2 linked regions of the Anolis sagrei genome follow. The protein of the gene in region 1 purifies or fractionates together with the protein of each later gene. This does not show direct contact. Links are inferred from orthologs where the notes say so. Each region holds a gene or a part of one and is shown on either strand. Other genes may lie near its edges. The genes, in order: PPME1 and PPP4R2.

The links.
Region 2: the proteins of PPME1 (region 1) and PPP4R2 purify together in Homo sapiens (affinity purification with mass spectrometry; 3 studies listed by BioGRID and IntAct, counting the BioPlex papers as one, with this or other methods). This does not show direct contact. The link is inferred for Anolis sagrei from reciprocal best matches to the Homo sapiens genes PPME1 and PPP4R2.

What each region holds. Positions count from the first base shown.
Region 1 is NC_090023.1:5,505,674-5,521,670, reverse strand, and holds the start of PPME1 (protein phosphatase methylesterase 1), read left to right. Parts: upstream 1-8,138; 5' UTR 8,139-8,181; coding exon 8,182-8,282; intron 8,283-11,948; coding exon 11,949-12,043; intron 12,044-15,983; coding exon 15,984-15,997. Other genes in the region: C2CD3 (C2 domain-containing protein 3), read right to left, coding at 195-352, 2,731-3,000, 7,453-7,528. UniProt on the Homo sapiens protein: Demethylates proteins that have been reversibly carboxymethylated. Demethylates PPP2CB (in vitro) and PPP2CA. Binding to PPP2CA displaces the manganese ion and inactivates the enzyme.
Region 2 is NC_090022.1:40,793,641-40,809,815, forward strand, and holds the start of PPP4R2 (serine/threonine-protein phosphatase 4 regulatory subunit 2), read left to right. Parts: upstream 1-9,703; 5' UTR 9,704-10,001; coding exon 10,002-10,035; intron 10,036-12,888; coding exon 12,889-12,970; intron 12,971-16,175. UniProt on the Homo sapiens protein: Regulatory subunit of serine/threonine-protein phosphatase 4 (PP4). May regulate the activity of PPP4C at centrosomal microtubule organizing centers.

The sequences.
Region 1 (15,997 bases):
GCACAGGTATTTGCACAGGTGATTTGTAGTTCACATTAAAGGCCACTGTATATAACATCCCTTATATGTGACTGCCACATACCTTTTCTTCTCCTAGATCCTGAATTAAATGTGGAGGAATTACAATCACAATATATTCTGAGCATTGAGCATATCCCTGCTACTAAGAAAAAGCAGCAAAAGTTTTTAAATACCTGCAATTCTCCCATCTTTTCAGATGTTGGTGAAACAATGGTGAAAAACCCACTGATTGGGTGGCTAGGAGAGAGCTGCGCTAGCCCACTGATTTGAACCCGGCCGATTGGAAGGCGATCTGATTTGGTCATGACTTCCAGTATAAGAGCACCCATATCTAGAAGGAACAATAAAATAGCCAGTCACTCTGTGGCCCAACTTACATGTCTGAATGCATCTCCCCTTATGAATTATCTAGGACCTTAAGATCGTCTGAGGAGGCCCTGCTCTGGTTACTATCTTAGTCACAAGTATGTTTGGTGGAGACGAGAGACAGGGCCTTCTCGGTGGTGGCCCCTCGGCTGTGGAACGCCTTCCCTATAGATATTAGATCGGCCACCTCCCTTTTAACATTCCAGAAAAAAAGTCAAGATGTAGCTTTTTGCATGAGCGTTTGCAAATGCAGAGTAACTGACACAGGAAAATGGAACGCCTAGACTAGTGTTTCTCAACCTGGGGGTCGGGACCCCTGAGGGGGTCGCGAAGGGGTGTCAGAAGGGTCGCCAAAGACCATCAGAAAACACAGTATTTTCTGTTGGTCATGGGGGTTCTGAGTGGGAAGTTTGGCCCAATTCTATCATTGATGGGACTTAGAATGCTCCTTGATTGTAGGTGAACTATAAATCCCAGTATCTACAACTCCCAAATGTCAAAGTCTATTTTCCGCAAACCCCATCAGTGTTCACATTTGGGCATATTGAGTATGCATGCCAAGTTTGGTCCAGATCCATCATGGTTTGAGCCCACAGTGCTCTCTGGATGTAGGCGAACTACAACTCCCAAAGTCAAGGTCAATGCCCACCAAACCCTTCCAGTATTTTCTGTTGATCATGGGAGTTCTCTGTGCCAACTTTGTTTCAATTCCATTGTTGGTGGGTTTCACGATGCTCTTTGTTTACATGTTAACTATAAATCCCAGCAACTACAACTCCTAAATGGCAAAATCAATCCCCCCGCCAATCCCACCAGTATTCAAATTTGGGCATACCGGATATTTGTGCCAAATTTGCTCCAGTGAATGAAAATACATCCTGCAGATCATTATTTACATGGCGATTCATAATGTTAGGGTTATGGTTGGGGTCACCACAACATAAGGAACTGTATTAAGGGGTCGAGGAATTAGGAAGGTTGAGAACCACTGGACTAGACACTGAGTCCAGACAACACAGGAGACACTATGAATTTATATTTTATTGATTGTTTAGTTTTTAATAAATGTTATGCTTTTAATTGTATTTATGACATTGTAAGCACTGAATTTTGCCCTGTTAGCTGCCTTGAGTCGCCTACGGGCTGAGAAAGGAAGTATACAAATACAGTAAATAAATAAAGAATATATATATTCTCTTCCATTCCTGTTTAAATTATCAACTCTTCCCACAGTGTAAATAAAAGACTGGTGTGCAGACAGAGAACAAATCATAATGGGAATGTTTGGAATGAGGTGGAAGCAAAAGGAAGAATAGGAAGGATAAACTCAATAAATAAATGAATCACAACCATCAAAATTACCAAGCCACTGGTAATGGGATTGTTTAAAAACCACCAAAGAAGAGAACACAACTCCAAAGCAGCATATTCTACTGTCAAACTGTGAGAAAGTTCAACTTAATTATAAGGATACAATTCCAACGACAAGGCTGGGGAAAATGTTGCAGAAGACACTACAGAGGTGTCATTGATCAGAATACGCAGAGCTGGGCAGCCAATCAGCAAAGCAAATCTTGCAATTTCCTCCAAACTGGACCTCAAGGAAAGTCAGTTTCCTACTTATCACATTTAGTCAATCAAAGGAAGAAACCATGAAAATGAACAAAATCTGGCTACCAGTATTAAAAAACTCAAAAATTACAACAGCAAAACAACAGAGGGGAAACAAACAGGCACATAAAATCACTCTCAACAAAAGATTCCCCCCAGGCACTTCCAAGCCATTGAATGCTAATCAAGGTGATCAGCTGAAACATTCACACCTAGCCCCAGCAGACAAAAGTCCTTTGTATTGTCGAAGGCTTTCATGGCTGGAATCACTAGGTTCTTGTGGGTTTTTTTGGGCTATAGAGCCATGTTCTAGAGGCATTTCTCCTGACGTTTCGCCTGCATCTATGGCAAGCATCCTCAGACCTCACTACCTCTGAGGATGCTTGCCATAGATGCAAGCGAAACGTCAGGAGAAATGCCTCTAGAACATGGCTCTATAGCCCGAAAAAACCCACAAGAACCTAAAAGTCCTTTGTCTCACCCTGGTTATTCCACAGATATATAAACCCATTTTTTCTACTTCCAACAGACCTCACTACCTCTGAAGATGCTTGCCATAGATGCAGGCGAAACGTCAGGAGAAAAATTGCCTCCAGAACATGGCCATATAGCCTGGAAAAACCTACAACAACCCAGCAATTCCTGTCCGTTCTAGTTTTTGCTTTAAGAGTGAATTCCAATCCTAAAGCAAAAAAAATTTAGATACTTAAGCATCAAGGATCCAATCAGTACCTGTCAGGTAGGCGGTAAACTGTTTTGGTCCACACCGAACTGGGTAGCGAGTGGTAGTCTTCAGTGTCTTTTGCTCTGCTTGCGAGGGGTCACGGGGAGTGAAAACAGTGCCATCTGAGGTCTCTCCCCACCACCGCACCCGGATCAGGAAGGAAGATGGTGGCTTGGAAACCATCCATAGGATCTTGCTAACGGTCAGCTTCAGAAAGCAGCGTAGCTGTCCTTCCACGAGAGGCGGCAAGCTTGTCGAAGGGGTAATGTCACTGAGATCTGCGAAAAAGCATTAGAACACAGTTATTTAGACAATGTGAATGATTCATAGGAGCATAGTGCATCAATAGGAGCATAGTATCTAGAGATCTAGGGAAGTCGTGCTCCCCATGCTCTATTCTGCTTTGTTTAGACCACACCTGGAATATTGTGTCCAATTCTGGGCACCACAATTCAAGAGAGATATTGACAAGCTGGAATGTGTCCAGAGGAGGGCGACTAAAATGATCCAGGGTCTGGAGAACAGGCCCTATGAGGAGTGGCTTAAGGATCTGGGCCTGTTTAGACTGAAGAAGAGAAGGCTGAGAGGAGATATGATAGCCATGTATAAATATGTGAGAGGAAGCCACAGGGAGGAGGGAGCAAGCTTCCTTTCTGCTTCCTTGGAGACTAGGACACGGAACAATGGCTTCAAACTACAAGAGAGGAGATTCCATCTAAACATGAGGAAGAACTTCCTGACTGTGAGAGCCGTTCAGCAGTGGAACTCTCTGCCCCGGAGTGTGGTGGAGGCTCCTTCTTTGGAAGCTTTGAAACAGAGGCTGGATGACCATCTGTCAGGGGTGATTTGAATGCAATAAAGCTATCGTCCTCCCAACCCTGCTCTACGCCTGCAAAATGTGGACTGTCTACAGACGTCACATGCAACTCCTGGAACGATTCCATCAGCGCTGCCTCCGGAAAATCCTGCAAATCTCTTTGGAAGACAGGCGGAGAAATGTCAGTGTGCTGGAAGAAGCAAAGACCACCAGCATTGAAGTGATGGTCTTCCACCATCAACTCCGCTGGACCGGCCATGTTGTCCGGATGCCCGACCACCGTCTCCCAAAGCAGTTGTTCTACTTCGAACTTGGAAAACGGAATGTTGGTTGACAGGAAAAGAGATTTAAAGATGGGCTCAAAGCCAACCTTAAAAACTCTGGCATAGACATCGAGAACTGGGAAGCCCTGGTCCTTGAGCGCTCCAGCTGGAGGTCAGCTGTGACCAGCAGTGCTGCACAAATCGAAGAGGTGAGAATAGAGGGCGAAAGAGAGAAATGTGTCAAGTCCTAGACAACTGGGAGGTGTCCAACATGTGATCCAATACAGCAGCCAGCAGAGTGATCTTGTTCACTGTGTACTCATCTTGTTGTGCATCAGATAACAACAGCAACAACAAAACAACAAAGGTGTTAATAAGGTAGTAATAATAATAATAATAATAAAGCTGTGGCATAGACACTGTGAACTGGGAAGCCCTGGCCCTTGAGCGCTCTAGCTGGAGGTCAGCTGTGACCAGCAGTGCTGCAGAATTTGAAGAGGCACGAATGGAGAGCGAAAGAGAGAAACGTACCAAGAGGAAGGCACATCAAGCCAACCCTGACCAGGACCGTCAATCTCAAAAACTGTGGCAATGGGAAGCCCTGGCCCTTGAGTGCTCCAGTTGGAGGTCGGCTGTGACCAGCAGTGCTGCAGAATTCAAAGAGGCACGAATGGAGGGTGAAAGAGAGAAACGTGACATTATAGAATGACACAATGACATATCCATTCTATTCCACGCAGGCTATGGGGTGCATCTACACTGCGGGCTTAACGCGGTTTGATACCGCTTTAACGAAAGCGTCTACCTGAGGGTGGGTGACCGGGACAGTATAGGGATTCTAGTAGTGTACCGTCCACCTCGCTGCACTACAGTCTCCCTACCTGAGCTAGCGGGGGTGGTCTCGAGCCTGGCATTGAAGTCTCAACGGCTTCTTGTGCTGGGAGACTTCAACGTCCATGCCGAGACGACCCTCACAGGCGCGGCTCAGGACTTCATGTCTGCCATGGCAACCATGGGGCTGTCCCAACAAATATCTGGCCCCACCCACTGTGCTGGACACACATTGGATTTGGTTTTCTGTCAGGGATGGGAACAGGGTGGCGGTGTGGAGGAGTTGTCCATCTCTCCGTTGCCATGGACCGACCACTTCCTGATCAGATTTAGGCTCACTGCGCCCCCTAACCTCTGCAAAGGTGGAGGACCCATTAAGATGGTCCGCCCCAGGAGGCTTATGGATCCGAATGGCTTCCTGACGGCTCTTGGGGATTTTCCCGCCACCTCGGTAGGTGACCATGTCGAAGCCTTGGTCGCTCTCTGGAATGGGGAGATGACCAGGGCTATTGACATGATCGCTCCGGAACGTCCCCTCTCAAGTAGCCGAGCTAAACCAGCCCCTTGGTTTACTGAGGAGCTGGCAGCTATGAAGCGAAGGAAGAGGGAACTAGAGAGCGTGTGGCGTTCGGAACCGAGCGAGTCAAACCGAGCACGGTTTGTGTCCTTTCTTAGGGCATATGCCGCGGCAATAAAGACCGCAAAGAAAACTTTCTTTGCGGCCACTATTGCGTCTGCAAAGAACCGTCCGGCGGACCTGTTTCGGATTGTCAGAGGTCTTTTAACTCCCGCCTCTGCAGGTGGGAGCCCTGACAATTCGGTCGCGCGCTGTGAAGCATTTGCTCGGTTCTTCGCAGACAAAGTCGCCTTGATCCGTTCTGGGCTGGACGCCGCGTTAGATGCAGACTCTGTGGATGTAACGAGAGCACCTGCTTGTCCTATTTTGTTGGATTCTTTTCAGTTTGTGAAACCCGAGGATGTGGACAAGATACTTGGAGGAATGAGGCCCACCACGTCCATCCTAGACCCCTGCCCATCCTGGCTTCTGAGAGAGGCCAGAGGGGGATTGGCCGAGTGGGTAACAGTGGTGGTGAATGCCTCCCTTCGGGAAGGCAAGATTCCAGCGAGCCTAAAACAGGCTATTATAAAGCCGCTGTTGAAGAAGCCATCACTGGACCCCACTAAATTGGACAACTTTCGGCCTGTTTCCAATCTCCCCTTTTTGGGCAAAGTCATGGAAAGCGTGGTGGCCTCACAACTCCAGGTATTCTTGAGAGACACGGATTATCTGGATCCGGCACAGTCTGGTTTCAGACCGGGGCATGGTACCGAGACGGTCTTGGTCGCCTTAGTGGATGATCTGCGCCGGGAGCTAGACAGGGGGAGTGTGTCCCTGTTGGTGCTCCTGGACCTCTCAGCGGCCTTCGATACCGTCGACCACGGTATCCTTCTGGGGCGCCTTGCGGAAATGGGTCTTGGAGGCATTGCTTTGCGGTGGCTCCGGTCATTTCTGGAGGGTCGCACCCAGAAGGTGTTATTGGGGGACTCCTGTTCCGCACCACAACCTTTGACTTGTGGGGTGCCACAGGGTTCCATACTGTCCCCCATGCTGTTTAACATCTACATGAAGCCGCTGGGTGAGATCATCCGGAGTTTCGGGGTGCGGTGTCATCTGTACGCAGATGATGTCCAACTCTGTCACTCCTTCCCACCTGCTACTAAGGAGGCTGTCGAGGTCCTGAACCGGTGCCTGGCCGCTGTAACGGTCTGGATGAGGGCGAACAAACTGAAACTAAATCCAGACAAGACAGAGGTACTCCTGGTCAGTCGCAAGGCCGAACGGGATATAGGGTTACAGCCTGTGCTGGACGGGGTCGCACTCCCCTTGAAGGCGCAGGTTCGCAGCTTGGGTGTGACCCTGGACTCATCGTTGAGCCTGGATCCCCAGGTTTCAGCGGTGACCAGGGGAGCATTTGCACAGCTTAGGCTCGTGCGCCAGCTGCGCCCATATCTCGGGAAGTCTGACTTGGCCACGGTGGTACACGCTCTTGTCACATCCCGCCTGGATTACTGCAACGCTCTCTACGTGGGGCTGCCCTTGAAGATGGCCCGGAAGCTTCAGCTGGTCCAGCGTGCGGCAGCCATGTTACTAACTGGAGCGGGTAGCAGGGAGCACACAACGCCCTTGTTGTCCCAGCTTCACTGGCTGCCGATTTGCTACCGGACCCAATTCAAGGTGCTGGTCTTGGCCTACAAAGCCCTAAACGGTTCCGGCCCAAAATACCTTTCGGACCGCATCTTGGCCTACGAGCCCACGAGGACCTTGAGATCGTCTGGGGAGGCCCTTCTCTCGATCCCGCCTGCATCACAGGCACGGCTGGCGGGGACGAGGGAGAGGGCCTTCTCGGTGGTGGCCCCCCGGCTGTGGAACACTCTCCCGGCACACATCAGACAGGCGCCCTCCCTCATGTCCTTTCGAAAAAGCCTTAAGACCTGGCTGTTCGAGAGGGCATTTAATTAAGTGCTAAGCAACAACATTACGGTAATGAGAACTGGAATGGTATAAGGAAGATGAGACTGGCTATGATTCTACTAAGAGACGAAGCGGATTTTTATGTAGTTTGTAGTTTGTATTTGTTGTATAGTCATATGTTGTTGATACTGGCCTCTGTAACTGTCTTTTTATGTGTACTGTACACCGCCATGAGTCGCCCGTAAGGGCTGAGAATGGCGGTCAATAAGTGCATCTAATAAATAAATAAATAATAAATAACTGCCTTTTGCCCCATGGCGAATTGTAACTTCCCCCCGATTCTCACCCTTCCGCTTGCGCCCAGGCCGAGAGGAGAGGGACGGGGAGGAGAAGCCCTTCGCCGCCTTTTTCTTCTGCTTCATCCTTCTTCAACTACTCCCAGGAGGCTTCAACTACGACTAGGCCGCTTCGCGTTGCTTGGCAACGCAGGCCGCGGCTCGCAATGCTTCCTGGGAAACCGGCGGGAGGAAAGCCCGGCTGCGGCCATTCCCCGAACCGCGCATGCGCGAGTCTCTAAGCCGGCTCTTTCTTATCGGCCTCTCAGCCGCAGAGAACTCCATTTCCCGTGCTGCCCTGAACCGCGCATGCGTGTGTCTCTAAGCCGGCTCTTTCTTATCGGCCTCTCAGCCGCAGAGAACTCCATTTCCCGTGCTGCCCTGCGTGCACTTCCGGTCTACGTCAGAGACAGGCCGGGCGTAAAATGAAAGGAGGAGAAAGAAAGGACTCGATGTCCCGTGCTGCTCCGGGGCGGCGCTTCAAGCGAGGAGCAGCGTGCCGGGAGCGCGGGGCACGTCGGGAATTGTAGTCCCGATGCCCTTTTTCGCCGCTTCCGGTGTACGTCAGAGATAGACCCGGCGTAAAATGAAAGGAGGAAAAAGAAAGGACTCGCCATCCCGTGATGCTCCGGGGCGGGGCTTCAAAGGAGGAGCAGTGTGCCGGGAGCGCGGGGCATGCCGGGAGTTGTAGTCCCGGTGCCCTTTCTCGCCGCTTCCTGCCTTCCTGAGGGGTGGCAGCCATGTCGGCGCTGGAGAAGCAGCTGCAGTTGGGCCGCCTCCCGCCCCGAGGACCGGGCCCGGCCGGGATGGGCGCTCAAGGGGCCCCCAAGATGCGCATGGGGTGAGGCCCAAGATCTGGGTGAGGGGTGACGTCACGCGAGGGGAGGGGGCTGCGTGACGTCACGGGGAGGGAGGCAAAGGGTGACGTCATGGTGGGTTTTTTCACCTTTCAAAGGAATTCCACTACAATTACTATTATTGTTATTATTATTATGCATAAGAAGATTGATTAAGTATATGAAGATATTACTACTGGGTTTCTGTGAGTTTGATTAGCATTGCAAAGCCTTGCAGCTTCAAAGCCTGGCTGCTTCCTGCCTGGGGAAACCCTTTGTTGGGAGGTCTTAGCTGGCCCTGATTGGGTCAGGGGAATTCCAGGCAAGAAACAACCAGGGCCATTATTATTGGGTTTCTTTGAGTTTGATTAGCATTGCAAAGCCTTGCAGCTCCAAAGCCTGGCTGCTTCCTGCCTGGGGAAACCCTTTGTTGGGAAGTCTGAGCTGGCCTTGATTGGGTCATAGGAATTCCAGACAAGAAACAACCAGGGCCATTATTATTGGGTTTCTGTGAGTTTGATTAGCATTGGAAAGCCTTGCAGCTTCAAAGCCTGGCTGCTTCCTGCCTGGGGAAACCCTTTGTTGGGAGGTCTTAGCCAGCCCTAACTGGGTCATAGGAATTCCAGACAAGAATCAACCCAAGACCAACTAACAACACCCGACAAAGGATTCCCCCCCCCCCAGGCAGCAATCAGCCAGGCTTTGAAACTGCAAGGCCATTACATGCTAATCAAAGTGGCCAATTGTAACATTGACACCTACCTCAAACAGACAAGAGTTCTTTCTCCCACACTGGACCTTAATCCACAGGTATATAAAGCCCGACAAAGGATTCCCCCAGGCAGCAATCAGCCTGGCTTTGAAACTGCAAGGCCATTAAATGCTAATCGAGGTGGCCAATTGCAACATTCACACCTACCTCAAACAGACAAGAGTTCTTTTTCCCACACTGAACCTTAATCCACTTGCCTAGTTTCCAACAGACCTCAGAGGACAGGGCCTTCTCGGTGGTGGCCCCTCGACTCTGGAACTCTCTCCCGCTGGAGATCAGAACTGCCCCCTCCATTCTGTCGTTCAGAAAATGGGTGAAAACCTGGCTATGGGGTTTGGCTTTCAACGAGTGAATCAATATTTTTGTGATCGGATAGATGACGATGAATGATGGACAACGGATTCACTATGACGACTGACCATTGTTATTATGTGATTGCATTTTGCTGTTATAACGTTTTAATTGAATATGTCATAAGATGTTTTTAATGATTGTTTTGTGATTTTATTGTTGGAAACCGGCCCGAGTCCCCCGATAGAGGGGAGAAGACCGGTATACAAAATTGCTAAATAAAATAAATAAATAGATAAAATAGTTGTGGGCGAAACATCAGGAGAGAATGCTTCTGGAACATGGCTAGTCAGCTCAGAAAAATCACAATAACCCAGTGATTCCGGCCATGAAAGCCTTCGACAACACATTATTACAATTATTGTTGTTGTTATTAAATTGTGGATGCAGTTAAGTATATGAGAATATTATTATTATTATTTAATATGTAAGGTTATTATTATTATTATTATTATTATTATTATTAAGTTGGGGACGCAGTTAAGTATATGAGGATATTTATTTATTTATTTATTTGCAACATTCGTATCCCGCTCATATCAGCCCGAAGGCAACTCAGGGCGGCGTTATTATTATTATTATGATTTATTATTATTATTATTATTATTATTATTACAACATATATAAGGATGCAATTAGGTATTTGAGGATATTAAAATTATTATTAAATATATAAGGATATTATTAAGTTGGGGATGCAATTAGGTATTTGAGGATACTATTATTATTAAATATATAAGGCTAATGTTATTATTATTAAGTTGGGGGATGCAGTTAAGTATATGAGGATATTATTATTATTAAGTATATAAGGATATTATTAAGTTGGGGGTGCAATTAGGTATTTGAGGATATTATTATTATTAAATATATAAAGCTATTATTATTATTAAGTTGGGGGATGCAGTTAAGGATATGAGGATATTATTATTATTACCGGTAAATATATAAGGATATTATTATTAAGTTGGGGATGCAATTACGTATTTGAGGATATTATTATTATTACCGGTAAATATATAAGGATATTATTAAGTTGGAGATGCAGTTAAGGATATGAGGATATTCTTCTTAAGTTTGGGGATGTGCTGGTTAGATTTGCCGGGAATTACAGTCCAACAACCTTTTGTACGGACCTCATACTTTTCATTCTTTCTCCATTCGCAGCTATTTTAAGAAATATAATTGGGATATAATATAATTGGCAGGTCCTTTTTAGCTGTTGGCTGCGTGCGGATGGGGCATCCCTATAATTTGCTCTTGCTTTTGAGGTGCAGTTGTGTATTATCTATAGACTGTCCTGCTTTTCAGCTTGCGTTTCTTCAGTTGCAAGGTGCATCATTCCTTTCCTAGAAAAAGGCTCTTGAATGTAATAATAGTAATTACAATAGGCCCATTGGTATCCAGTGGGGTTGGTTTGGTTTCATCCCCAAATCCAGACCAGGAAAAGCCCTCTGAGTTTATTGAAGACAATTAAATCTGTTTATTGAAGACAATTAAAAAGCAGTAAAAGTAAAAAAGCACTTTAAAGGTATAGGTAAATCCAATTAGGTAGGAAGATAAGCCGGAACAAAATAGTCCAGGGAATTAGTCCATCAAAGTCCACACATATATACACAAATATATACACACATATACTGTCAAGGTCAGACGCCAGCCAATTAAAGAAGTATAGTTTATGGTCCATCATAGTCTTGCTCGCGAGTAGTTCTCCTGCCTTTCCTAATACAACTAGTGTTACTATCACTGCCAGCAGACTCTATCACAACATATACACCCATATATATATAAGCAAACACACATTTATACGCCCATGTATATATAAGCAAGCACACATATATACACAAATATATACATACACACACACACACATATATACACCCACATATATATATGCAAACACATATATACACACATATATACACACATATACACAATATGCATGTATACATATAAACACACAAATATATACACACATATATACACACACACACACACACATATATATATATATATATATACACCCACATATATATATGCAAACACACATATATACACAGATATATACACACAGACACATATACACACACAAAACACATATACGCAGACGGCCACAGCAGGGGATGGCTAATTTATTAATAATAATACTTTATTCATATAATAAAAATGATGATAATAATAATAATAATTTTAAAAACTGGAACGTGGGACAGAACAGAATAGGAGAAGAAGGTAAGGAGCTAGATAGCATTATCTTTACTAGAATTAATGATGCTATTGACAGTGCTTGGCAAAAAGGATTTGGCATTTCCTCTTCCAGACAAACAGACAGACGGAGGCACAGAATAATACATGCAATTAAATGGATGCCTTTCTAGGATTTTTTCTAGGTAAGCAGAAGTTTACCCTGGAATTGCCTGTAGGAGAAAGTCCCCAGTGAGGACATATTTTGTTGTGTGGGAAGATGAAACTGGGAATGCTGGTCTCACCGCTGTGAGAATGAATTGTACTGTCATTATATATAAACTATCCACGTTTCTTCTTTCAGACCTGGAAGGAAACGTGACTATTCCCCGGTCCCGTGGAGCCAGTACTTTGAATCTATGGAGGACGTGGTTGTCGAGAGCGACTCCGGCAAGGATATATCCTTTCCTCTTCTTTAATTGAATTGTCCCTTCTGATTAGATATAACGGTGAAGCTTTGAAGCAGGGGAAGGTAGCAGTCAGGGATTACAGTGTCTTTTAAAACATGTTAATCAGAATAATTTTTCTTTTTTTTTTCTTTTTGCTAATTTTATATGATTTTCTTTTTTTTCTTTTAATCGTGTTTTCTATTAACACACAAAAAGGTTTCATATAATTTAATTAATTTTATAACAATAATTAAAAATAATTTAATAATAAATAACAATAATTGAAATAGTTAATAATATTAATATAAGTTAAATTGTTGTTGTTGTTGGGTAAAGGTTTTCCCTTGACATTAAATCCAGTTGTTGTTGTTGTTGTTGTTGTTGTTGTTGTTGTTATATTTATTTATACCCCACTTTATCTCCCCAAAGGGGAGATAACTTGACATGTGACTTGACATAAAAGTATTAGTATACTTTTATGTATAATAAAGGGTAAAGGTTTTCCCCTGACATTAAGTCCAGTCATGTCTGACTCTGGGGGTTGGTGCGCATCTCTATTTCTAAGCCGAACAGCCAGCGTTGTCCATAGACACCTCCAAGGTCATGTGGTCAGCTTGACTGCATAGAGCGCCGTTGCATGTTTTCAAATTGCCAGGTTGGCAGAAGCTGGTGCTAACAGCGGGAGTTCACCCTGCTCCCCGGATTAGAACCTGCGACCTTTCGGTTAGCAAGTTCAGCAGCTCAGTGGTTTAACCCACTGCACCACCAGGGGCTCCATATATTAGTATATAATATTAATATATAGCAGGAAGCAGTGAGGCTTTGAAGCTGTAAGGCTGGCTGCAACATTCATACTTGCTTCAAGCAGACGAGTTCTTTCTCCCTCCCTGGACATTGCACAGATATATAAACCTCTCTTTCCCAGTTTCCAACAGACCTCACGACCTCTGAGGATGCCTGCCATAGATGTGGGCGAAACATCAGGAGAAAATGATGCTGGAACATGGCCAGACAGCCTGGAAAACTCAGAGCAACCCAGTAATTTCAGCCATGAAAGCCTTTGACAACACATTAATATAGAATTTAAAATATACAGAAATGCAGATATTAAAAAAGAATTAAATACATATAGCACTAAAATATTAATAGTCAAAAACTATAAAAATAGTTTTTAAAGTTAAATTGTTTAATTTAAAAAACAATTAAAATCAATAATAATTTTAATAATAACAATAATATTATTTCTAATAATAATTGAATATTATTAGTTGGAGGTGGTGACGGAGCTGGGGGTGGTGACGGCCAACAGGGAGCTCTGGCGTGGGCTGGTCCATGAGGTCACGAAGAGTCGGAAATGACTGAATGAATGAACAACAACAATAATAATAATCCCTACTCACCACTTCTCACGGCTCAAGAATAAAAAAAACATTAAGGGAATCTTACATATGTAAACTCTACACATTCCAAAGTACAAACAACACAACACACATATTTATTATTATTATTATTATTATTCAACAGGTGTCATAATTGTTTTGATAAGTTATGTACTGCAGGAAGTTTTAAAAATATGTTCTGGTCTTAATGCACCTTAATATAAGTTGAGCATCTTACCTGGAATTCCAATATTTTGAATTTTCCACACTTCAGCCACTTGTGTGGAAAATTCAAAATATTGGAATTCCAGGTAAGAGATGCTCAACTTACCGTATATACTAGAGTATAAGCCAACCCGAATATAAGCCGAGGCACCTAATTTTACCACAAAAAACTGGGAAAACATATTGACTCGAGTATAAGCCGAGGGTGGGAAATGAAGCCACTTGGGGTAAATTTCAATATAGAAATAAATACCAATAACATAGAATCATAGAATCAAAGAGTTGGAAGAGACCTCATGGGCCATCCAGTCCAACCCCATTCTGCCAAGAAGCAGGAATATTGCATTTAAAGCACCCCTGACAGATGGCCATCCAGCCTCTGCTTAAAAGCTTCCAAGAAAGGAGCCTCCACCACACTCCGGGGCAGAGAGTTCCACTGCTGAACGGCTCTCACAGTCAGGAAGTTCTTCCTCATGTTCAGATGGAACATTAATTGAGGCACCAGGAGGTGAAATGTTTTTGAATATTTACATAAAACTGTAATTTGAGACAAGACTGCCCAACTCTGATTAAATCATTATTTTAACTTTCTTCAATGTAAATATACTTGCACATCATTCCAACAATAATAAAGAGAATAAAATAACAAATGTAATAATAATAATAACAATAAAGTAAAATAATGGAAATGCAATAATAACAGTAATAATAGAGCAAAATAATAAATGTAATAATAGAGCAAAATAATCAATAATAAAGTATAATGCAATAATAATAAAGTGGCTGAAGTGTGGAAAATTGAAAATATTGGAATGTAAATGTAATAATATAAAGTAAAATAATACATGAAATAAAAATAATACTAATAACAGAATAAAATAATAAATAACCTTGACTCGAGTATAAGCCGAGGGGAGCTTTTTCAGCATAAAAAGGGGCTGAAAAACTAGGCTTATACTCAAGTAAATACAGTATATTAAGGTATTTATTCATCGTGTCATCAGCAAACATACCATTTTTTTACATTTCTAACAGAACAAAACAGACACACAGATTAAAAACAACAACACAGATTTTGCAAACTTGGTAGTTGGTTAAATGTCCTTTGACCAGTATCTTGCCACTTGGAGTGCCTCTGGTGTTGCCGCAAGAAGGTCCTCCCTTGTGCCTGTGGCAGGGCTCAGGTTGCATTGCAGCAGGTGGTCTGTGGTTTGCTCTTCTCCACACTCGCATGTCGAGGATTCCACCCTGTAGCCCCATTTCTGAAGGTTGGCTCTGCATCTCGTGGTGCCAGAGCGCAGTCTGTTCAGCGCCTTCCAAGTCGCCCAGTCTTCTGTGTGCCCAGGGGGGAGTCTCTCATCTGATATCACCCACGGATTGAGGTGCTGGGTTTGGGCCTGCCACTTTTGGACTCTCGCTTGCTGAGGTGTTCCAGTGAGTGTCTCTGTAGATCTAAGAAAACTATGTCTTGATTTAAGTCGTTGACGTGCTGGCTGATACCCAAACAAGGGATGAGTTGGAGATGTCTCTGCCTTGGTCCTTTCACTATTGGCTGCTACTTCCCGGCGGATGTCAGGTGGTGCAATACCGGCTAAGCAGTGTAATTTCTCCAGTAGTGTAGGGCGCAGACACCCCGTGATAATGTGGCATGTCTCATTAAGAGCCACATCTATCGTTTTAGCGTGGTGAGATGTGTTCCACACTGGGCATGCGTACTCAGCAGCAGAGTAGCATAGCGCAAGGGCAGATGTCTTCACTGTGTCTGGTTGTGATCCCCAGGTTGTGCCAGTCAGCTTTCATATGATTTTTTCTAGCGCCCACTTTTTGCTTGATGTTCAGGCAGTGCTTCTTGTAAGTCAGAGCACGGTCCAAAGTGACTCCCAGGTATTTGGGTGTGTTGCAATGCTCCAGTGGGATTCCTTCCCAGGTAATCCTCAGAGCTTGGGATGCTTCTCTGTTCTTAAGGTATATTAAGGTACATTAAGACCAGAACATATTTTCAAAACCTCCTGCAGTCCATAATTTTCCAAAAACAATTATGACACCCATAGAATAATAATAATAGTAATAAATATGTGTGTTGTATTATATAATGGCTCAACTTTGTTTCATACAAACACAAAATTATTATTTTTAAAATATTACGTGTAAATTTACATTGCGTTGGGTGACCCCCAAATGTCTCACCTTTTGCAAAGCATTGCGCTAGAGTTTTAATTGACAGGAAAATATGTTATGCAGAAGGAATAAGTTAAAGTTGGCAACTGGCAGCAAAGGTGGTTCACTTTGCATCTAAACTTTCTTGCATTTAAGATAGTGGTTACAACGTCCTTAACTGTTCATACACTTTTCGAATTTAC
Region 2 (16,175 bases), on another chromosome or scaffold:
CTCAGGTTGAGAAATGCTGCTCTAGGGCATGTTTTCAAATTTTGGTCCTCCAAATGTTTTCGACTTCAAATCCCAGCAGCCATTGTGGTCGACAGTCTGGAATTTTGGTAGCAGAAGTCCAGAACAATTGAAGAACCAAAGTTTGGGAACCACTGCTCTCGGTGATATATCTGCATTATATAGTTATATCAGTCTGATAATTACTTCAGCTATTATGGCTCCGATACAAGAGATCTGGGAATTTGTAAGTTGATGAGATACTCTGATAGAGATCTCTAGTTCACATCTCAAATCTCTGATTTTTCTAAATCTGGCTAGAGAGGGACTGAGTACACAACCAGTTTAAATCAATATAGACAGGCATTTAGGGTACCCAAAGTTTAGTCCTGGGTTGTTGTTTTTTGTCAGAAAATTCTAGTTATGTCACTGAACTACAAATGTCAGGATTCCTTAGGATCAAGTCATGAAAAAGTGGCACAATACTAATATAAAGGTATACTGAAGACAAACATTATACTGAACACATACTTTTCCTGTGAGGAAGGATTTCCGCATAATAAAATACTTGATTTCAGCCTCAGTCAAGTTCAGAAGAAGATCTGACCTCCTCAAAGTAGCCAAGGAGATTCAGTCTCGACAGGAATTGTAACACTACTAGTTATGAATCCTGTTCATGTACAGAAAATTATGGCATATAGTCCATAAAACCTAGAGAAAAGTGAACCTACTTACATGAAATCAAGAATGTTGTTTTTCTTGAAGAGCAACTTTTAATTGCCTTTGCTCAAAGCATGTTGGGCAATTTCTACATACTACGCCTATCTCTTCCTTTGGTCTTTCAAATACTCTTATTGCAGTAGTCTCCCTCACCTCAATACTGGATTTTCAATACGCTAATATCTCTTCTCTGCTAAATTCTCACCAAAACTAGACCTACTAGGCTGGATCAAGCAGATCCTTGACTGGTTAATGTTATGTCACACTTCTTTTGTCCCCTGGACAGCAATTGTTTCCTGTCCTTATTGGACATTACCAAGGCATAATATAATATGCACAGCCACCAGGAAAAATGTTAAAAGATGGATGAGCCTTGTCAGTTATTCCATGGAATGACAAATTGGCTCTGCTGTTCTGAAAATTGGAAAGGAGGAGGAAACGGCTCTCTCTGCCTCTTTTTCCCCCCAGCAGCCTGCTGTGACTAGAATGCTATGATAATAGCCCATAGCAGCAAAGAAAGGCTTTTGTCTGGAGGTGTGTGTTAAATCTAATTGTATTCAGAAAATTCAGAAAATTTTAAAGATACATTAATACTTTAAAGGCCATTGATTTGTTAGTGTTTTTACATTTCCTCCTACTGTGTAAGAGAGAAAGGAATGGCAGATAGGGGAAAAGCACCCCAAAATAGAAGAATGAAAAAAGAGCTGGTGTTTGACACTGGGTGCATCTGCACTGTAGAAGGAATGCAGTTTGACACCACTTTACTGCAATAGCTCAATCCTATCGAATCCTGGGATTTTTATAGTTGTGTGAGGCACTTTGGTGAGCATGCTTTGGTAGGAAAGTCTCAAGACTTTGTAAAACTACAATTCCCTGGATTCAAATAGCATAGAGCCCCCAGTGTGACTTGTAAAAGCAGATAAAATATTTAGTATATATTTTTACAATTTATTTTACCAGCATGGAATCCAGGATGAATATATCAAAGTAATCAGACAGTTATAGTTTGATGCCACCCCTGCAAAAATAGTATCCAATCTTTATGCCAAAAGATTGGTGGTTCGAATCCGAGGAGCAGGGTGAGCTCCCTTTGGTCAGCACCAGCTTCTCATGTGGGGACATGAGAGAAGCCTCCCACAGCACAGTAAAACATCTCGGCATCCCCTGGGCAACGTCTTTGGAGATGGCTGATCTCACACTAGAAATGACTTGCAGTTTCTCAAGTCATTCCTGACATGAAAAAACAGCATTGAGCAATGGCAGTTAATGTAGTGTTGAACTGCATTTGTTCTACAGTGTAAACATAAAGTAAAGGTTTCCCCTGACATTAAGTCTAGCTGAGTCCAACTCTGGGTGTTGGTGCTCATCTCCATTTTTAAGCCGAAGAGCCGGTGTGGTCCATAGGCACCTCCAAGGTGATGTGAGCAGCATGACTGCATGGAGTGTTGCACCTTCCCGCAGAAGCGGTACCTATTGATCTCACATTTACATGTTTTTGAATTTCTAGGTTGGCAGAAGCTGGACCTAACAACTGGAGCTCACCCCACTCCCCAATACATGTGTCCAATTCCAGTACTCAAACAACTTTCCAAGTAAAGCTTTCCAAATATGTCATGTTGGTGACACACTTTTTAGAAACGTATCATTTCACAACACAGTAATTCAGTTTTACTAGCAAAACAGAGGTTAAACCAAGTCCTTTTAGATTAGGGCTACATACATAAATTATATTAACAAAACGAATGAGGACACATTTATCCAATTACTGGTTCGCATCCTGATCCAGATTTCTTGAGATGGGTATAAATCCTGTTATTTATTTGAAATTTAAAAATACTCCTCAAGATCCAAAGAACAATAAACTCCCCAGGTCACAAGTGGTTTATTTTATTTTATGTGGCTGGAGGAACAGTAGCTTAGGGTGCACCTACACTATCAAATAAATGCAGTTTGACACCACTTTAACTGCCATGGCTCAATGTTATGGAATCCTGGAAACTATAGTTTTAGAAGGTCTTTCTCCTCTGCCTCACCAAACTACAAATCCCAGCATCCCATAGCATTGAATCAAGGCAGTTAAACTGGTGTCAGAGTGCTTTAATTTTGATAGTATAAATCAGGCATGGGCAAACTTTGACCCTCCAGGCATTTTGGACTTCAACTCTCACATTTCCTAACAGTTAATAAACTAGTTGGGATTTCTGGGGGTTGAAGTCTAAAACACGTGGAGGGTCGAAGTGTGCCCATGCCTGGTGTAGATGAACCTTCTGGCTCTTATCTTGCAACTGACTATCAGTTCTTCCAGTGAGAAGTCAGATTTGTGATTATATTGATCAGTACATTTGGATCTTCAAGTAGTTTTCCAGCTTTCCACTTTCTCTACAGTGAACCAAATTCGTGCATTTTGAGTATTATTAAAGTGCATCCTCAGTGAAGTATTAGTGACACCTTTTCTTTCTAATAAGATGTAACCAATACAAACAAAGAACATAGTATACTATAGAGATTGTCCTGTCGAAGGCTTTCATGGCTGGAATCACTGGGCTGCTGTGAGTTTTCCGGGATGTATGGCCATGTTCTGGAAGCATTCTCTCCTGAAGTTTTACCCACATCTATGGCAGGCATCCTCAGAGGTTGTGAGGTCCCAACCTTTGAGGATGTCTGCCATAGATGTAGGCTAAACGTCAAGAGAGAATGCTTCTGGAACATGGCCATACAGCCTGGAAAACTCACAGCAACCCACTATAGAGATTGTACTATAATTTTGCCCCACAACTGATGCATGGGTTTGCAATCCCTGTCTTTTCCAACTCTATGAATTAATGTATTGTCGAAGGCTTTCATGGCCGGAATCACTCAGTTCTTGTGGGTTTTTTCGGGCTATATGGCCATGTTCTAGAGGCATTTCTCCTGACGTTTCGCCTGCATCTATGGCAAGCATCCTCAGAGGTGAGGTGACCTCACTTCTGAGGATGCTTGCCATAGAGGCAGGCGAAGCGTCAGGAGAAATGCCTCTAGAACATGGCCATATAGCCCAAAAAAACCCACAAGAACTCTATGAATTAAGTTTGTAGTCTACTTTTCTCCCTTTATTCTTAAGATAAATGTTTTCCCCGGCGAATAAAACATCCCAGTGAAAATTATACCCAAAATCAAAAGAAAAGAGGTAGGTTTCAAGATGGTGCTTGAAAGTGGTAATTTATTATGTGGAGATTGCACAGCGTGCTTGGAGCAAAGACAGTCAAGAGCTACTGTTCAAGGAGACTTTTAAGCTTTGAAAAATGTAGCTCCCAGTTCTGTGAATGCTGAATATTCAAACAACTTCAAAGTGAAATATTTGAGCTCTAACCAGACGGTCAGCCACACAGAAGGAGAAAGATTGGGGAAATCACAGTATTACAACTAGATTTTTTTTTAAGCTGACATCATTGAAAGGAAAACACATAGAAGAACTGTATTTGTAATATTGTTGTTAAGCCATGAAAAACCGACTCTTCTAAGCTGAAGCAACTTTTCATACTCAAATAGAGGTCTCTGTCTCTAAAGGCTGTTCTAAATCAAGGGTGAAAAGCTGAATAAGAAAAGGGCAGTCAAAGTTGTCTACTAATCTAATAAATGTATTCCAACAAACTATATCTTCTGTCTGTGCTTAAGGAGATTTTTCATTTATTTTATTTACATTATTATTATTCTGCTTTTCTCTGGACAATAAATGTAAAACTATGCAAATTAAAAAACAAAACGCTTAAGAAGTAGAAACTTGCCATGCTAGGCATGTGGTCACTAGGAATATTGGCTGCTTGTTGTCCATTTCAATGGCCAAGAGAACGTTATCATTCATGTATCGAGCGAGAGCTGTATTATAAGAAAATATTAATTTGATCTAAAAAGTGCATTAATTATACTATGTAACAAAATGTGAAAAAATATGTTCCTGGTTTGAAAGTGTTATTTCCTGTTTAATTGTGTGGTACTTCCTTTGAAAGTAGTTGTTATACTCCAGAAACTTTGTTTCTGTGGCTGCCACAAACTATGTTGAATTGGTTGAGACTCAAGTTTCATGATAGAACCAATTAGGAAATGACATTTATGACCCAGGAACAAAAAACCTGTTACATAGTGTTATGGTTTAAACTTGCGACTCAGTGAGTCCTTAAATATGCATGTACAGAAGTTGATTATAAATTGTATGATTTTAACTGTATTTGTGTTTAGATTGGCTGCAGTAATGCTGGAGCGGCCTAAGTCAGAGGAGTGCGTTGCCATGGAGACGATGCTGTAGAGAGAGAAGTGGGAGGAGCTTAGAGGGGAGAGTTTGAAAAACGACAGTTAATGTTCAGTTAGAGTTTAGGTTCAGAGGAGTGAACAGTCATGAGTTAGAGTTTTAGGTTCCGAGGAGTGAGGAGTTAGGGTTTTGGAGTCGGAGTTAGCAGTTGAGAGAGAGAGAGTGGGAAGTAGAGAAGCAGTGTTTGTGAATAGTCAGAGGTTTTTTCAGTTTAGGAAAGCTGAAGGGGAAACCTAATTAGTTTCATTAGTTAGAGAGGACTAAGGGAAGCTTGTTTAGATCACTAGTTAGAAATGAACTAGAGATCTGGGGTTTGATCACGGAAGGATCAAACAGGAAGGCTATTCACCTCAGGAAACATTGTTTAAGAAAGTGCTTCACCACAGTAAAAGTCAATTACAAGTTGTAACATCCAGAAGTGTGAACTGTATTGCAACCAAGTTACATGTAAAGTTCTCAAAGTATTTCCAAGTTTATCAACAGCCTGCAACCATACGCTTTGTTCAAAATAAACTTGTTCTCTTTTGTTTGAAGACTGCCTCATCTCCATTAATTCTGCGTCCAGTGTGCCATATCTCCCAGTAATACCTCACATCACACATTGGTGGCACCATTAAGAGTAATAAATAATAAATCGTCCCTCCTCTCTCCTAATTCGTTACAATGCAAAATAATAATACAGTCAACTCTCAGTTAATCAGAACTCAAGCAATCAGAAATCTCAAGCAACCAGCAAAACATCCCCCAAATAAATAATACTGGATTCAATGTTTTGTTGAAGGCTTTCATGGCCGGAATCACTTGGTTGTTGTAGGTTTTTATGGCCATGTTCTAGAGGCATTCTCTCCTGACGTTTCACCTGCATCTATGGCAAGCATCCTCAAATGCCAAGCCTTCAAATGCTAATCAAGGTGGTCAGTTGAAACATTCACACCTAGCTCCAATAGATAAGAGTTCTTTGTCCCACCCTGGTCATTCCAGATATATAAACCCACTTTCCTAGTTCCAACAAACCTCACTACCTGTGAGGATGCTTGCCATAGATGCAGGCAAAACGTCAGGAGAGAACACCTCTAGAACATGGCCATATAGCCCGAAAAAAACTACAACCACCCAATACTGGATTCGTAAAGCTTTTTGTTTATAATATGGTCAAACAGTGTTACACTGTCTTTATTTGCTTTTAATTGTTGTATTTCATAAGGATATCAAGTCAATACTGAGTTTATGGATAGCAGGCATGGGCAAACTTTGATCCTCCAGGTGTTTTGGACTTCAACTCCCACAATTTCTAACAGCGGGTCCAAAACACCTGGAGGGCTCAAGTTTGCCCATGCCTGGGGTATAGTATTAGTTATGTCTATTTTTAATAGTAATAGTAGCTCTCAAGCAGCAATAAACTACCTTTATCCGGCATTTACCAGTCCCCATAGGTAACAGTTAAATGAGAGTCTCTTATTGTATTCAGATTGAATATTAACCATCGCCCCTGCAAGTCACCTCTGGTGTGAGAGAATTGGCCGTCTGTAGAGACGTTGCCCAGGGAACGCCTGGATGTGTTACCATCCTGTGGGAAGCTTCTCTCATGTCCCCTCATGGGAAGCTGGAGCTGACAGACGGGAGCTCACCCCGTCTTGTGGATTCAAATCACTGAACTGCTGACCAGTTCCAGCTGAACTGGTCAGCAGTTCAGCTGGAACAAGGGTTTAACCCATTGTGCCATCGCGGCTTCTGAAGTTGCTTCTGACACAATTAAAAAAAGAAACGATTTGCCCAAGACATTTGGTATTGACAAGTGGATTTTTATATTAAACAAAGATGATTTAATTATAAAGATATTTAATCTGCTGTCAAGCTCTAGTTTCTGTAGCTGTCATTCAAAAGATAATGCACTGTGTAAACGTGGGAAAACTTGATTCTTACAAAAGAGAGGTGATAGTGATTAAATATGTGTATATATTTTTTAAACATTTATTACGGTCAATGACCAGCATCAAAAAGGTACAAGTGACAGGGTGTGCAAATGTCAGAGTACGCACACATGTACAAGCACATGTACATAAATATACAGACATCAGGTTACACACACATCCAGGTATTAAGAAACAATGTTAATATGTATATATTATATCACTGCATAACTGACCGTGGGCTTCACGTGTTCAGCCTAAAAAAAAACCCAACCCTTTACTTAAAACATATCAGGCTAAAAGTCCGCATTATCACAGGGTGTCTGCGCCCTACACCACTGGAGAAATTACACTGCTTAGCCGGTATTGCACCACCTGACATCCGCCGGGAAGTAGCAGCCAATAGTGAAAGGACTAAGGCAGTGACATCTCCAGCTCATCCCCTGTTTGGGTATCAGCCAGCACGTCAACGACTTAAATCTAGAAATAGTTTTCTAAGATCTACAAAGACACTCGCTGGAACACCTCAGCAAGCGAGAGTCCAAAAGTGGCAGGCTCAAACCCAGAACCTCAACCAATGGCTGACACCAAAAGAGAGACTCCCCCTGGAAAGAAATAAACGAATAAATCCTTCTGGAAAGAAATAAACGAAGCTTGTGAACTGATCCTTAAGAGAAAAATACAGAGAAAAGCAGAGTACTACCTTTTGGGAATCTTCGAAGAAGATTGGGACCTGGATGTAAACAGTTATTTGTTGCTGACCTACTTAACAACGGCAGCAAGAATTGTGTTCGCCAGACACTGGAAGTCCAAGGAAATCCCTTCTAAAGAAGAGTGGTTGGAGAAAGTACGAGACATATGAGAGATGGATGTATTGACCTACACACTAAAAGATTCATATGGGCGACCACTGAAGAGAACGAATTGGAAACCCTTCGAGGAATTCTCAGAAATGAGCTAGCCCGGAAAAGGTAAGGAAAAGAGAAGAACCAGAAATAAGAAGGAATAAAAAATTTAGCAATACAAGGGAGGAACTACGTAAAGAGCCACCTAGAAAGGAACTCAAAATTTTAAGACATGGAGCAAGAAGACTGGGAAGTCGGAACATCCTTCCAAATGTTATATTCCCCCCCCCCCCCCGTTGTATTCCCTCCCCCAACTTACCCGGCACACCTTAACCCAACCCCGCATGCTCCCCCAACTTAGAATGATCCCACCACCAGGGCCACCTTCCCCCCCTCCCTTATCCCTCCCATTTTTCCCGGCCCATCGTACCTTGTTGTCTTTTCTAAGAGATTTTTATGCTCACTCTTCCCCCAAACTTTGGTATATTTTGGAATATTTCTAATAAAAATCATTTATAAAAGAAAAAAGAAAAAAAAGAGAGGGACTCCCCCCCTGGGCACACAGAGGACTGGGAGGCTCGGAAGGCGCTGAACAGACTGCGCTCTGGCACCACGAGATGCAGAGCCAACCTTCAGAAATGGGGCTACAAAGTGGAATCCTCGACATGCGAGTGTGGAAAGGAGCAAACCACTGACCACCTGCTGCAATGCAACCTGAGCCCTGCTACATGCACAATGGAGGACGTTCTTGCAGCAACACCAGAAGCACTCCCAGTGGCCAGATACTGGTCAAAGGACATTTAATCAACCATCAAACACACACATTCTGTATTTTGTCTGTTTGTTTTGTTAGAAATGTAATATAATTTGACTGGTTGTCCTGACATGACAAATAAATAAATAAAGGCTAAAAGTGATATTAGATTTCTTTTCTGATAAAATAAAATACTTTATTAGTGGTACTAGCCGTTCCCTGCCATGAGTTGCTGTGTATGTTTTGTGTGTGTATATATTTGTGTATATATGTGGTTTTGTGCATGCATTGTAATTTTTTTTTTGCTTTTTAAGTCTCTTCTGCTGTGTTTTTCAGTGTTTTTTATGAGTGATGGTCACCCGTTGGCCTGATAGGTGTCCTGTGTCCAAATTTGGTGTCAATTCGCCCAGTGGTTTCTGAGTTATGTTAATCCCACAAATGAACATTACCGGCTGTTAGGAATGGTGGGAGTTTAAGTCCAAAACACCTGGAGGGCCCAAGTTTGCCCATGTCTGATCAACAATGTAGAATTAATGCAGTTTGATACCACTTTATCTGCCATGGCATCTTAGGAGTCATAATTGAGTGAGGCATCAGGAGTCTTTGGCAGAGAAGGACTCCCAGGATTGCACAGCATTAGGCCATGACAGTTAAAAGTGGTGCCAAACTGCATTAAACGTACAGTGTAGATGCACTCATGCTTACTTGCCACAATTATATCAAAGTTGCTGTCAAAATATCTAACTTTTTGCTCAAATGTATGTTGAAAGGCGTCGACAGTCTCACCTCATGGGCTCCCTCAAAACATACACCTTCTCTCTTCTCTCTCCTCAGACTGAATGAAGAAAGGAAGAAACCTGGCTTTCAGTCGAAGCGTGACGTCACCGGGAGTGGGCGGGACTTAAAAAAGAGAAGGCATCTCCTCTCGAATCCAGTTTCCACCGAAGCGTGACGTCACCCGAAGTGGGCGGAGCAGAGAGAAAAAGTCAGTTTGAAAAAAAAAAAAAAGAAGGAAGACTTCTCTCGGCCAATCCCAACTCGAGCTATTCCTTCAGGCTTTCAATCATTCTCGGGCTGTGACGTCACCACCTTCTCCTCGCGCGCCTCTGCGTGCCGGCGGGAAGAGGCGAAGCTTGTTTTTTTTCGCGGTGTGGTGTGCGTGCGTGCTTGCGTGCGTGCGCGCGCAGCAAGCGGCGGCGGCGGCGCGCACGGCGGCGGCTTGGGCGCCATGTTGGAAGGTTGCTGAGCCCGGCCGCCGGGGGTTTTGCCTCTCTCTCTGTGTCTCTCTCTTTTTGAGTGTGTGTTTCCTCTCTCTTTCCTTTCTCTTGGGAGTCTTTCGCCTCTCGGTCGTTCCCCTCTCTCTTTCTCGCTCTCGGAGTGGCTGAGGCTGAAGAAATATCTCCCCTGTGCTGCTTCTGGAGGCCTGTTCCTTGTGTGAGGGCCCGAGGGGCAGGAGGAGGAGGAGGAGGAGGAAGAGGTAGCTGCGGACCATGGATGTTGAGAGGCTGCAGGAGGCACTGAAAGGTGTGTGAGAGGGTTGTGGGGGTTGGTTGGCTCTGGGGAGAGGGTTCCAGGTTACCTTGAGGTCATACGGAAAGGGAAGAGGACACTGCCCTCAGGAATGGGGGACACGAGGCCTGGGCTTCGCTTTGGTGTACTTGGGAGATCCCATCAATCCCTATTATTATTATAGATTGAGCATCCCTTATCTGACTAGCTGAGGGTGCATCTACGCCAGTCATGGGCCAAGTTGGGCCTTCCAGGTGTTTTGGACTTCAACTCCCACAATTCCTAACAGCCTCAGGCTGTTAGGAATTGTGGGAGTTGAAGTCCAAACACCGGAAGGGCCCAACTTAGCCCATACTTGACCTACACAATAGAAGGAATGCAGCCTGACACCATTTTAACTGCCATGGTTCAAGGCTGTGGAATCCTGGGAGTTGTAGTTTGGCAAGGCCTTTAGCCTTCTCTTTCAAAGACTGCTGCTGCCTCACTAGACTACAACTCCTACCATGCCAATCTGTGGAATCCTGGGAGTTGTAGTTTGGCAAGGCCTTCTCTGTCAAAGACTGCTGGTGCCTCACTACACTACAACTCCTTCCATGCCAATCTGTGCTTTAGTTCCACATCGTAGATGGCTCAAGGATGTGGAGTCATGGGAGGTATAGTTTTGTAAGGTGGTTAAGCCTTCCCTGCTGAAAAATGTTTCTGCTGCCTCACAAAAGTACACATCTCAAGATACAGTTTGAAACCACAAAGCTTAACAAGCAGTTTGACTCCACTTGAAATTGCCATGGCTCATTACTATGGAATCATGGGAGGCCGAAGATCTTGTGAAACGACACCTTCCATAGTGGGTTGTTGTAGGTTTTCTGGGCTATATGGCCATGTTCTAGAGGCATTTTTTCTTGATGTTTCGCCTGCATCTATGGCAAGCACCCTCTGAGGATGCTTGCATAGAATCATAGAATCAAAGAGTTGGAAGAGACCTCATGGGCTATCCAGTCCAACCCCCTGCCAAAAAGCAGGAATATTGCATTCAAATCACCCCTGCAGGCGAAACGTCAGGAGAAAATGCCTCTAGAACATGGCCATATAGCACGGAAAAACCTACAACAACCCAGTGATTCCGGCCATGAAAGCCTTCGACAATACACCTTCCATAGTGTTGAGCCATGGCAATTTCAAGTGGAGTCGAACTGTATGTTGAGATTTGTGGTTTAGTGAGGCACCAAAAACACTCTTCAGCAGGGAAGGCCTTACAAAACTACACCTCCATGATTCCATAGGATTGAGACATAACAATTTCAAGTGGAGTCGAACTGTATCTTGAGATTTGTGGTTTAGTGAGGCACCAAAAACACTCTTCGGCAGGGAAGGCTTAAAGGCCTTACAAAACTACACCTCCCATGATTCCATAGTATCGAGCCATGGCAATTTCAAGTGGAGTCGAACTGTATCTTGAGATTTGTGGTTTAGTGAGGCACCAAAAACACTCTTCGGCAGGGAAGGCTTAAAGGCCTTACAAAACTACACCTCCATTATTCCATAGGATTGAGCTGTGGCAATTTCACAAGATCTTCTGCCTTCTTTGTCAGAGAGTGTTACCAAGATACAATTCCCACTATTCCATAGCATTGCACTATTGCAGTTGAAATGGTGTCAGTGTATGCACTCTGAGATCCTGAAACTTTTGCCAGCCCACGAATCTCAAGATACAGTTTGACCCCACTTGAAAATGCCGTGGATCAATGTTATGGAATCATGGAAGGTGTCGTTTCACAAGATCTTCAGCATTCTCTGCCAAAGAGTGTTGGTGCCTCACCAAACTACAACTCCCATGATTCCATAGCTTTGCACCATGGCAGTTGAAATGGTGTCAGACTGCACTGATTCCACAGTGTATGCTCTCTGAGATCCTGACACCTTTGCTTTCTGAGGGTACAATACACACAAATGTTGTTTTCTTCACAAAAATTGGGTATAACATTGCATTCAGGCTATGTCTAAAAGCTGTATATGAAACAGCGATGAATTGTGCCTTGGCTGCATCTCCAAGACATCTCATTCTGTGCATGTATGCAAATGTATTTCAAAATGGGGGTGGGGGGGGGGGGGTCCAGAATATAAAACATTCTTGGTCCCAAGGGTTTTGGATAAGGAATACTCCCAGTCAGTATTGTTAATGTAGCGTTTTATCTCCAACATTGGGATTTATAGTGGCTCACAATTTAAAAGAACAACACAGCTAAAACGTACAAAAAGTAAATATTACAATAGAATGGCATCCTTTTTTGTTAAAGGGAAGACACCTTTCTTGTTTACTGCTTGGGAGAAATGGAAGCCATTCCTTCCCTCCCCCTGCTTTCAAGCCATTTTTGGAGAAGGTAGTCATACAGCTCCCAAGTGGTTTCCCCTTCCAGCCGATTTTCATACCCCTTCCTTAAAAAAGTTTTTTTGGGCCTTTTATTCAACATTATCTCTTTTATCTGTTACATGACTATACACTCTTCTAATCTTCATTTCCTTAACTTTCTAGCATTTCTGGCAACCTTTACCTCACGTGTATCCTCCCCTTCCCACCCACTCCAAGAAATCACTGGATTACATTGGCTGTATTTGCTTTCCTACCCATAGTCTAGCTAGTATTAGAAACTAGCTTTGAAAGAGAAGTTGAATAACAGCCGTTCAGATACTAAAATATATTTGATGTTCCTTCAGAGGCCTGTTAAGGAGCATGCCTGAGTGTGTTTACATATCCATGTTAGTGTGTGCTTTCCATTTAGAATGCAAGATATTTCGAAGGTGAATATGGTGTCTAACAAAGGAGTGTGTACTTTTAATAGTTATTTTCTTCTTTTTCTGTCCTCTTTGTAGATTTTGAAAAAAGGGGGAAGAAGGAAGTGTGCCCAATACTGGATCAATTTCTTTGTCATGTTGCCAAGACTGGAGAGACAATGTGAGTGAGTTTAATTGATTTCTAGTTTCTTTCTATGCTCTTGGATGAGTCAGAAAGAAAGTTAGCAACTGAATGCCTTTTATGTGTTGATCCTTGAAAGGTACCTACATTCCAAATGAATAGCTACACAGTATAAGTGTTTCTCAAGTTTTGCTAATTAGGTAACTTTCTTTTAGACTTAAAAAGCTGTTCATCAAAGATTGAGCAGTATCGTTCTGAGTGCCTTTGATTCTTTCTAGTGTTTCTTGTTAACTTCAATACATTCTTTTGAATGCAATAAACCTAATGCTGTCTCTATTTTACACAGTGTTCCTGCTTTAATAGGCAAAACATGGACAGACTGTGTGTTTTGCAATCTGTTTTCAGAGTTGTGAATTAACATGGATTCCTATTAACGAGTATAAAAAGTGGAATGGTATTAGACTTATTACACAAAGATGGACACATTTTTCTTTTCTTAACTTACAAATTAGCACATTACATTTTCAGAGAAATGTAGTTCTGCAAAATTTATTTAGTAGCATTGAATAAATATGTCCAAATTTTAAAGTATATCAATTATGGGATTGATATCAATTAGTTATGGGGACTGCTCATAACACAGCCTTTCTGTGTGTACATACTTCTTGACGCAAAAATAAACCCCATATAGAGATGTGCTTAAGTACCAAATTCTCTTGGGGTGTAGAATGAGTACAGTCTGACACCACTTGAACTACAATGCCTCGATGCTATGGAATCCTGGGAGTATTAGTTTGGTGAGGAACCAGCACTCTTTCGCAGAGAGTGTTAAATGTCTTGTAGATCTACAACTCCCATGATTCCATAGCATTGATCCATGCCAATTCAAAGGGTGTCAAACTGCACTCATTTTACAGTGTAGGTGCACCGTAGGTCTTTTTCAACCTCATTTTAGATACAGGGAATTAATGAGAAGAGTAACTCTCTCAAAGCATATTCATTTGGGGGGTTGATTTTGCTTCTTCATATCACTTTGCCTAGTTATAACATAATCAGGAAGTACATCATAATTCATCACGTATGGACAATGGCATCTGAAATGTATAAAAACAAGAGACCAAGAATAGACTCGGATGACTAACCGGGCCCAGGGTTCTTATTTTGGGTTAGAAGCCTCTTACTTCATCTGGGATTTCAGGTAGTGCTCATTTAAATGGGTGTTGCTGGACTGAGATGCCAATGCCAACCAAATGTTTCCTTTTTCTAAATATGATAACATACCTCTTTCCTATTCATTTACATTTGTCTACGCAACCAGTAAGTGATTATATTCTTTCTTTTTTAAAAAATAATCTTCATTGAAATTTTCTATAACATGATTAAAATTAAAATAAAAAAGTAAAGAAAACGAGAGAAAATAATAATAAAAAGAAAAAGTGATTATTTTCTTGGTGGTCCCATTCTCTCCCGATGAGAGCACACACATTGCTATATCATAACCTGCACCTTGGTCCTGTCTTCTGACCCTGCTCACTCCATAAATTTGTAGTAGTGAGTGTGATTTTGGTTTGCCACCACTTCAATAAAAATAATAGTAAAGAAAAGTAGACTATTATAAATTACCATATTTGGCAGAGTGTATCCAACTGTTTTAGTATGCCAAGCACTGACAAATTGGCAGGAAGGCAGTAATGTTCACAGATACTGAGAAGTCAAGCGTTTGTCACAAATTACTATCTATAATTCAGCACAGGACATAATAGAGGCACTTAGAATAGTTCGGTTGTGCTAAAGACGTCACGGAAGAAGTGAAATTTTTCGGAGCGGATTTAAAGACAGTAAGAGGCATGGCATCACAGGTGGAAAGCAAGGTAAAGTGTTGAATTCTTGGAGAGAGAACTATTTTCAGAGAACGGAATATGGTGTAGCTGAAGGAAGGGATGTATTGGATGTAAGAACAAAGAGATTGGGTGGTGAGCTTTTGCTTGATTTGATAGCAAAAGAGATGTCCAAGTAGAAATGTAAGGGGAGTATTGTGGCCACTGACAAAAAGGGTGCAGGGATAAAGGTGAGACAATGGAGTATGAGTGAGAACAGTATTGGAGACATGGGAAGCTGCTTTATACTGAGTTGATCTATTGGTTCATCTCAGTGTTGTTTGCCATAGTGACTGGTAGTGACTTTCCAGAGTTTGAGAAGGAAGGCTTACCATGTTCTGCATAAAGGTGGCAGAGTTTAATCTGGGACAACTGATATGAAGCTTAAGTATATTAACACAGTGTTTATTTGTTCATTACATTTTTTCTCAGCTTTCCTCTAGTGGCCTCAAGTTACAGCAGTCAGGACAAGGAAATACATAAATACACGTGCTTGTATATCTAGATTGTATTTTTCTGATGTTGCTCTGACTTCCTTATTGCCTTACCACTTAGCAGAAAACCCTGTAGTGTGTAAATATTGTGTGTGTGTGTGTGTGTGTGTGTTTTGTTTGCTCCCAAGCTGGCATAGTGGGGGAGAGTAATGTTAACTTGTGCTTTGGGGAAAATACTTATTTCAGTGAACTCCACCTTACAAAGTACAACTGTTTTTTTTATCATTGGACACTAGAATTAAAAGAAAAAAGAAGCCCTGAAATCTTGTTTATTCTTAGAAACAAAAGGTCAGTTCAGTAAGAACAGAGTTTTCTTCCAGTTTTCCTTAATACCAATATATGATCAACATAATTACATTTTAGATCCTAGTAACAGTTTATTTCTTGCATAAGTCTAAATTTGTTTAATAGATATATTTAAAGATCTAGAATGGTAGAGTTTGGAAAGTTTTGAGCCTAGGTCTATAAAGCAAAAATCATGATGCCACAGCTGTTCTAAAAACGTGTATGTGTGTATTCTGTGGATTGACTTTTATGTTCTTTATCATAACAGTCTACTCCTTTAAGTGCTATAAATCTTAGGACTTCATCACACTAGAGCAGTGGTTCTAAACCTGTGGGTCCCCAGGTGTTTGGGACCCACAGGTTGAGAACCACTGCACTAGAACATTTATCCACTTTAAATCCGTTTGCAGAATTTTGGGGTTTGTAGTTAAGGGTGTGGCCTTTGAACTTCACACCCCAGTCAACTACAAACCTCAGAATTCTGCAGGAGGAAGCAACTGGATTTAAAGTGGATAGGTGCTCTAGTGTGATGAAGTACTTGTTGTTGCTTTAATACCAGGATTGATCCTCAGTATTTTTGGCTTTTGA